2 linked regions of the Oryctolagus cuniculus genome follow. The protein of the gene in region 1 interacts with the protein of each later gene in a pairwise test. Links are inferred from orthologs where the notes say so. Each region holds a gene or a part of one and is shown on either strand. Other genes may lie near its edges.

Evidence for each region. The genes of interacting proteins can lie anywhere in the genome.
Region 2: the proteins of NTAQ1 (region 1) and ASL interact in binary tests that used the Homo sapiens proteins (3 or more experiments, as listed by UniProt). The two-hybrid records come from large-scale screens. The link is inferred for Oryctolagus cuniculus from reciprocal best matches to the Homo sapiens genes NTAQ1 and ASL.

The regions. Positions count from the first base shown.
Region 1 is NC_091437.1:149,130,726-149,134,822, forward strand, and holds the start of NTAQ1 (protein N-terminal glutamine amidohydrolase), read left to right. Parts: upstream 1-1,297; 5' UTR 1,298-1,421; coding exon 1,422-1,513; intron 1,514-4,097. Other genes in the region: ATAD2 (ATPase family AAA domain-containing protein 2), read right to left, coding at 198-310, 580-620. UniProt on the Homo sapiens protein: Mediates the side-chain deamidation of N-terminal glutamine residues to glutamate, an important step in N-end rule pathway of protein degradation.
Region 2 is NC_091450.1:66,174,352-66,178,385, forward strand, and holds the start of ASL (argininosuccinate lyase), read right to left. Parts: upstream 2,804-4,034; 5' UTR 2,701-2,803; intron 2,504-2,700; 5' UTR 2,462-2,503; coding exon 2,450-2,461; intron 1-2,449.

The sequences.
Region 1 (4,097 bases):
GAACAGGCCACCCTGGAAAGGATAGGCAGGCGGGTCACCAGAACCAGCAGTCTGGGGACACACAGAAGGCCTTCGGTGTGCTGGGGGTGGGGAGGAGGGGACCCTGCTGTGTGACTGCTGGCCACTGGGGACAAAGGCTCTGGCTTGAGGGGCTGAAGGAGGAGTATGGCCGGCTGAAAAGGTCACAGAGCACGCACCTTCTGGGCCTGAGGCAGGGCAGACTGCACTGGACGTGACCACACCCGTGGCTGGAATGGAGCCCAGAAACTCCTGGGAGCCTCTTCCTCCCGCAATGGCCCTCCAGCTCTCTCTAAAGGGGAATTCTGTCGGTTGGTTAGTGTTCAGACCCCAGAGGTAACAAATCCAAATCGGACACAAAAGCGCAAAAGTGTTTAAGGGCTTTGGGACACAGATCAGAGAATCTGCCGCGGACGGCCCTGGCCAACCTAACCATTTCAGTTGGATAATGGTAGGATTCTGATCAGCTGTCCCAGTATAGGTCTGTTGCAAACACAGAGTGTAAAGTCTAAGTCCTTGAAAGCACACATCCCAGAACCATTCCTTCACCAGAGTTCTCACCGTTTGGCGGCTTTCCTTCCAGACTGCCAGCAAATAAACATGGTTAACACAGAAAGATGATTTTGCAACTTATTTTCTGACTGTATCCAGGGACCAATATATCCTTCCCAGCCAATACATACAGCCCTCCTAATTAAAAAAAAAATGCTACATTTGGGGTGTGATTCCTTCCTAAAACCGTCCTCGCGACGGTCCTACTTGGAATTTACCCTCCACCGCTACCTCTCCCCCGGGCTCCAAACTACAGCGCCCATTTTGACACACAAAGCCTTTCTAATGGCAGTCCATCTGGTTCCTCCACAGCCCAGCGGGCAACGCCAGCCCAGCCACTCAGGGCCCCGGGGTTCACCAACTCCAGACTCTCCCCTAACTCCTCCCTCAGGCCGCTCGCCGCGGACCCTCTCGCCCAGGATTCTCGTCGTCCCCGCCTCACCCCGCACGCCGACCACGCCCCAGAGCCCGCCCCCCGGAAGCCTGGGCGCCAGCTCTTCCCGCCCCCACTCCCCTCCCCACCGTCTCCGCCTACCCGGAACCACGCAGCCGTCTGCGACCCGGGTCCGCCCACTTCTCCCTGGCTCCACCCTCTCGAAAATCCAGCGTCGTCCTCCCCCGAGCTCCGCCCACTCAGTCCGGACCTTCGCGCGCTGGCAACTTGAGCCGCTTGCCCCGCCCAGGCTCCGCCCACCCCGCCCAGGCTCCGCCACCCGGAAACTGCCCTGGCCGCCTCAGGCTCCACCTACTCCGCTCCGGGAGCGGGCGCTGTGGGCTGCGCGCCGGCTGCTTGCAGCGATTGGCCCACTCGGGCCGCCTCCTGCCCGGGCCGCGGCCCAAGCTAGCCCGCCATGGAGGCGGGGGACTGCCCTGCCGCCGCCGCCGCCTGCTACCAGCCGGCCGGCCCTCCGCGGGACGCCTGTGTCTACAGCAGCTGCTACTGGTGAGGGGGCGCGGACGCAACCCCCGGAACCCCGGAGCGGCGCGGCCCCGCCTCGTTCCGGCCCCTCTCCGGCGGGGTTCGCTGGTTTGCGGGAGGAGGGAGCGTGAATGGCAGGCTTGGTCTCTGGAGTAGAGCTGCGGAGTGCGAAAGGCCAGGCTCGCTGCCTCTGCCCGGCGCCTCTCACCGGACAGGCGTGGCGGAGCTCAGTGCCTGGCGCAGACGCGGGGGGCTGCAGCTCAGAGCTCTGGAAGTTACTCTGCTGACGCCTGCGCGCTGCGGGGCCTAACTTTGGAAAATGGTCGCGGTACAGAGAGTTCGAGGGATTTCTTCTTGAGGTCCTCCAGCTGACAGCCGCTGGGAGTCCGGCTCAGGCTCCTCCGGCGCCGGAACCCACGGTCTTGTTACCGCTCAGCTGTCATTACAGTTAACGTCGGTGACGTGTGCACGGCACCCTGCGTGGTTTTGGGAACAAGCACAGGAACCCCCAGGAGGAGGGCGCTCTAGTTTATCCCCAGACGGAAGAAGCGCAGAGCGGGGCAGGTCATTTGCCTAAAGGGGAATGCGGGTGTCCTGGCGGAGGCTGGCTGTGGGCTCCGGGCACTGCGCCCCGGCCGCCTCTGCAGCTGCAGCACCACCCGCCCGCCCTGTTCATCTCTCACCTTTCTCCCCCTACCCCCCAACCCCGTCTTCCAGTTGCTGACCCTCAGGACCCTCTAAACTACTCCCTAGCCCCTAGCTGGTCGTCTGACTGTTGCTACTGACGGCTTGCCTTTTGTTCCACTCCGGCTGCGTGTCAGGCCCGGTGGCAAGAGCTTCCGTCCATCCCTAGGAAATAGGTTCTACGATTACCATTAGCCCCCCTTTGCTGGTGAGACTGAGCCATCGGGACACTGTTTGCAAGCGGTGGTGGTGCAGCTGGAGCCGCCTGTGTGGTGCTGGAGCCCGCGCGTCTTACCCGCTGCACTCTGTTTCTTCCCTGCCGCTCCTAGATCTCTGTGTTCTCATCCCTACCGTGCATGCATTGCTCCATTCATTCATTCAGTAAACGTTTACTGGGCCTTGGAGTGCGTGATGCATGAATCCAGGCACAGAGGACATAGCAGTGAACAGACTTAAATCCTCCGGTGAGATCTCGTGATTCTTACGTTTCGATGGAGGGAGAACAGTTGAAAACAAGTAAACCATGTTTGCATGGTATTAGAAAAATAAGACAAGGTAGGGGGTGATGATTTATGCTGTCTTATATTAGGATATTTAGGGACATTGCCCATAAAGTGGTTTGAACAGAGGTCTGAAGAAACAGAGGGTAGGAGCTTTGTGGGTACAGGACAAAGTTGATCTCAGACAGAACAGCAGGCGGAAATGTACCCAGAAGGAAGTGTGCTGTGAGCGTTCTGGGACTGTCAAGAAGGCTGGTGCAGATCAGTGTCTCTTTTTAAAAATTTTTTTGGTTAACTTGTAACACATGTTCATTGGTATGGGGTACCATGTAGTATTTTTTTAAGATTTAATTTTTAAATTTTTATTGATTTTTTAAAAGATTTTATTTATTTCTTTGAGAGGTAGAGTTACAGAGAGAAGGAGGGAGAGACAGAGCAAATGGTCTTCCGTCCACTGGTTCACTCCCCAAATGGCTGCAATAGCTGGAGCTGGGCCGATCCAAAGCCAGGAGCCAGGAGCTTCTTTCAGGGCTCCCACGTGAGTGCAGTGGCCCAAGCAGCTGGGCCATCTTCTGCTTTCCCAGGCCATAGTGTAGTCTCATAGTGTCAGGCAGTAGCTTTACCCACTAAGCCACAGTGCTAGCTCCTACACTTCTTTTTTTTTTTTTTTTTAAACTTATTTATTACTTATTAGAAAGGTAGAGTTACAGAGAGGAAGGTCTTCATCTGCTGGTTCACTCTCCAAATGGATGCAGAGGCCAGGGCTGGGCCATGAGACTGGAGCTTCCCCTGGGTCTCCCATATAAGTGCAGGGGCCCAAGCACTTGGGCCGTCTTCCGCTGCTTTCTCAGGCACATCAGCTGGGAGCTGGATCAGAAGAGGAGTAGCTGGGACTAGAACCGGAGTCCATATGGGATGCTGGTGCCACAGGTGGAGGCTTAGCCCACTGCACCCAGCGCCAGCCCATTAGATCAATGTGTCTTTAATAGATCATTTCCTTGAGTTCCTTTAGCCAGAGGCCTGGCCCTTCTCGGCTGTCATGGAGGCTATTCTAGTTGCTTCCTACCAGGCCTTTCAGGCAGACCTCCCCTACCTCAAGTCTTTAACCTTGCTTGGCTCCAGAACCTGCAGATGGGAGGGTGCCACCTCATAAGGCTTGAGTGAGTAAGCAGCATGGTTGGAGAGTACGAGGGCTGGTCTGTTGATTACATTTCAAGGAAGGCAGGCATGGACAATAAAGTGCATCTCCTGAACATAGCAAGCTCTCCAGGGTCTGGTCACTGTTCTTCCAGCCTCATGTTGAACCTGCCATCTGAGCTGTGCTCCAGGGTCCCTCCTTAATATTGGCTCTGTTGAGATTTGGGGCATGATAATTCTTGGCTGTGGGGGCTCTCCTGGGTATTGCAGGATGTGTAGCAGCATCC
Region 2 (4,034 bases), on another chromosome or scaffold:
GATTCTGGCTTCAGATCAGCTCAGCTCTGGCTGTTGCGGCCAACTGGGGAGTGAACCAGCGGATGGAAGACCTCTCTCTCTGCCTCTGCTCTCTCTGTGTAACTCTGAATTTCAAGTAAAATCAATAAATCTTTTTCTTTTAAAAAAAAAGAGAGAGACAATCACAATCCTCTCTGATAGGTCTGTTGTTGAACATTCAATCAGATAACGCTGGCAGAGTGCATGCCTCTGAGAGTACCTCAACAAGTTCACAAAAATGGAATAAAAAGATACATTTTGGTGTAAAAAAAAAAAAAACAACAAACTTTGAGATCCAGGCAGTTGCTTTCATACTATGTATTTTCAAAGAACTTTTTGAAGATCCTCTATATGCATGGATTTCAATTGGGTTTGCACCAAAATCAATTAATCTAATCTCGTTTTTCCACGGGTCTTTTGGAAGCGACCGGGTTACACTTCACCTGCACTCAGCTGGGGACTCAGTAATGGTAGCCAGTACTGAGTGAGGGCCAGGGTGGATTCTAGTGGCACCTCTGGGCCTCCACAGTGCTGTGAGCTGAACCCCCGCCCCCATATCCCTGAGTCCAACAGCCTGTTGCCAATGGACTCTGCCCTGCAGAGAGAGCCTCTGCCTCCCTCAGCCTTTTAAACTGGGCCCACCCCTGACACCGCAGCTGCTCTGTCAAGCCTTGATCTCCAGCAAAGCATCGTGTGGGACCTGGGTCTGGCCGCTGGAGGCAGAAGGCCAGGCCAGTCAATCACAATTGGGAGTGCCAGCAGGCTCCTCAGCCAGCAACCAGGCACCGCCTTGCCTAGCAGGCTCCTGGGGCTCCCGTGCCTGAGTTGTTCATAATAACAACAACTACTACTTAATGAGTGGGCTGCAGCCAAACCAATTAGCACCAACCCACAGGCTGGCCTGGGGCAAGCTGAGGTCACTGAGGGCAGCCTCTGCACTCTAAGACTCAGCTGCCCCCTCACTGGTAGCCTTAAAAGGATCCCAGGAGGAGGTTGGAGTGAGGTGCTGGGGAGACAGCATTGCCAGGAGTCATCCGGTCCAGAAAGATCTCTCTGGGGCAAGGGTACTGAGTTGAGCTGAGTTGAATGAACAAGGGAAGCATCAGTCCTGTTGCTGCTTATTGCCAGCATTTTATTGAGTATTTCTTGGCCCTGTGCTAGAGATGCTACATATGCCACAAGGCCACTTGGAAAAATTCGTGGCAAAATGGAATTAAAAGGTAAGTTTATTTTGATGTGCACATGGTTAAATCCATACATAGTTTCTTCATGGGATGCATTTTTCCCATGAGCTTTGTGAAGACTCTCCCAGGCACGGGTTTCAATACCTTCCACACCAAATAAACTTATCTTTGATTCCATGTCCCACGAACTCTTTGACGCACTCCTGTGTTGCATCCTCCTGGGGGGTGGGCGCCACAACTTCCTCTTTACAAATGAAGAAAGAGGAGAGCCGCAGTGACTTTGGGACAGACACCAGGTCTGTTTGGCTCCAAAGTCCAGGCCCTGCCCCAAGCCCTGCACCATGAAACAGGCGCTGGCAGGGGAGGCCTTCTTACCCTGTTTATTCAGATGCACGCAGAGAGAGGAAGTGATTTGTCAGCTAATTAATAGGGGCCAGAAGGGACTGAAACCAGACCTCCTGCTTCACAAGTCCAAGTTCCCTTCCTCAGCCTCAGGCAGACCGACCCTTCTACCCGAGGGTTCAAAGCAATGACCTCATGATCCGGCACCTTACAGAGGGAGGCAGACTACTATTATTATTCCCATTTGCCAGATAAATCAACTGAGGTCCAAGGAAGGCAGCATGTGCCCCAGACTCCTGCCACTCAGTGGTCCGGGTGAGAAGCCAGGAGCCCTGGCCTCTAAGGAGGAGAGGTCAGCGGGACAGGTAAGAACCAGGCCCTGAGACCACTGGGGCCACCAGGGCCTCAGCAGGGGTCAGGGGAGTCCCTTACCTCCTGGCTCCTTGCATATGCCAGAGTCAGGGACAAGGGCACTTTAAGGGCTGGGCCTTTTTCTATGCACGGGGACGGCTGCTGTGGCAGTGCAGGGTGGGGACTGACAGAACAAGGGGAAGAAGAAACGAAGAGGCAGAGGGGACTGCCTGAGTGGGCAGCATCTTTCCCGGCCTGCCTGGCAGCCCTGTAGGCTCCGCTCTGGCTCACTGTCCCCCAGCAGTGTGGCTTGGTGGGTTTGCCACACAAGCCACTTGGGGGCGCCAGGAGAGAGCGAGGGCAGACGGTGATGGGGTTACCGGCGAGCGCCGGTTTCGGGCTGCGCCGGGTTCCGGCAGGTGCGCCCAGGCCAGCAGGCGGCAGGTCTGGCGCGCGGAGCTCCCGTGCGCAGTTCACTGCCCTGGCTGGCTCCCAGGGGCCCCGCGCCCCGAGTCTGCAGGTTCGGAGGCTCAGCGACCCCGAGTCCCACTCACCTCCGATGCCATGTTGGGCGGTTCCTCCTCGTTCAGGAGCCTCGGCCTCTGGGTCTGGAAGAGAAGGGACTTGCTCAGCACGCAGAGTCCCCCCACCTCACCTCAGGCGCGGCCGGCCCCTGGCTCCGGGCACTGCCCTGGACACAGCGCAGCTCCCGGGAGGGCGGATGTGGGCAGCGCCCTGCGCGCGCCACGGGCCTCCGCTCCCGCAAGTCCCGCCTGTCCCGCCCGGGCGGCCGCCGCGCACTCACCGTCGGCTGGCCACGCAGTCCTCTCCAGCCAGCAGCCCCGCGGGGCTTTTCTGGACCTGGTGGCGTCAGCGGTCGCCCGGCCCTGTTCCGCCCCCTGGCGGCGACCGCGCCAATCCGAGGTGGCCGGACGAGATGGGCGTTGCCTCCGTCCGCCAACCCAGGCTGCGGGCGGGGCCATCTCCGGCTGGGCTTCAGGACGAGTGGCCCCGGAGAAAAGTCGGGGTGGTCAGGGCGGCGCTGTGGAGCAGGGAGGTCAAAGCCGCGACCTACACCTGTTATCCCACATGGGTGGCGGTTTGAGTCCTGGCTGCTCCACTTCCGATCCACCTCCCTAATGCTCCTGGGATAGCAGTGGAGGATGGCCCAAGTCCTTGGGCCCCTGCACCCACAGGGGAGACCCTGAGGAAGCTCCTGGCTCCCGGTCATTTGGGTTAACGCCCTGGCCTGAAGCGCCGGCATCCCATACTGGCTTCGGCTCGAGACCTGGCTGCTCCACTTCCGATCCAGCTCTCTGCTATGGCCTGGGAAAGCAGTAGAAGATGGCCCAAGGCCTTGGGCCCCTGCACCCACGTGGGAGACCTGGAAGAAGTTCTTGGCTCCTGGCTTCCGATCGGCGCAGCTCTGGTCGTTGGGGCCAACTGAACTGGGGAGTGAACCAGCAGATGGAAGACCTCTCTCTCTCTCTGCCTTTCCTCTCTCGGTGTAACTCTTTCAAATAAATAAATACATCTTTAAAAAAGAAAAAGAAAAGAAACGAAAGAAAAGAAATAAAGTGAGGGTGGTGCCTTGGTGGCTTCTCGATCCTCTGGGTCTGGAAGAGAAGAAGGGATTTGCTCAGGGACAGCTCAGACTCTAGACTTTAGATGATCTGGTTCACTCCCCAAATGGCTGCATGGCTAGTGGTGGGCCAGGCCAAAGCCAGGAGCCAGGAACACCATCTGGGTCTTCCACATGGGTGGCAGGGACCCAAGGACTTGGGCCATCATCTGCCGTCTTCCCAGGCACATTAGCAAGGAGCAGGATCAGAAGGAGAGAAGCCAGAATTGGAACTGTTGCTCCAATGTGGGATGCCAGAATCACAGGTGTCAGCTTAGCCTGCCTCGCCACAATGCATGCCCCGCAAAATTTATTTTTCAGGAAGATAAATACAGTGATAGTGCTGAGAGTAGAATAGGGGACAGAAGAGAGCAAAGGCTGAGATGCTTTGTGGATTGAAGGTTTTCATGCCTTAGTCAACTCAAGAGTGGAATTACTTGGAATTCCCAAATAATTACATGTGCCAGGAGGGTGAGTGTATCAGAGGGCCTGAGTCCTATCCAGGTTCCCACTAATGC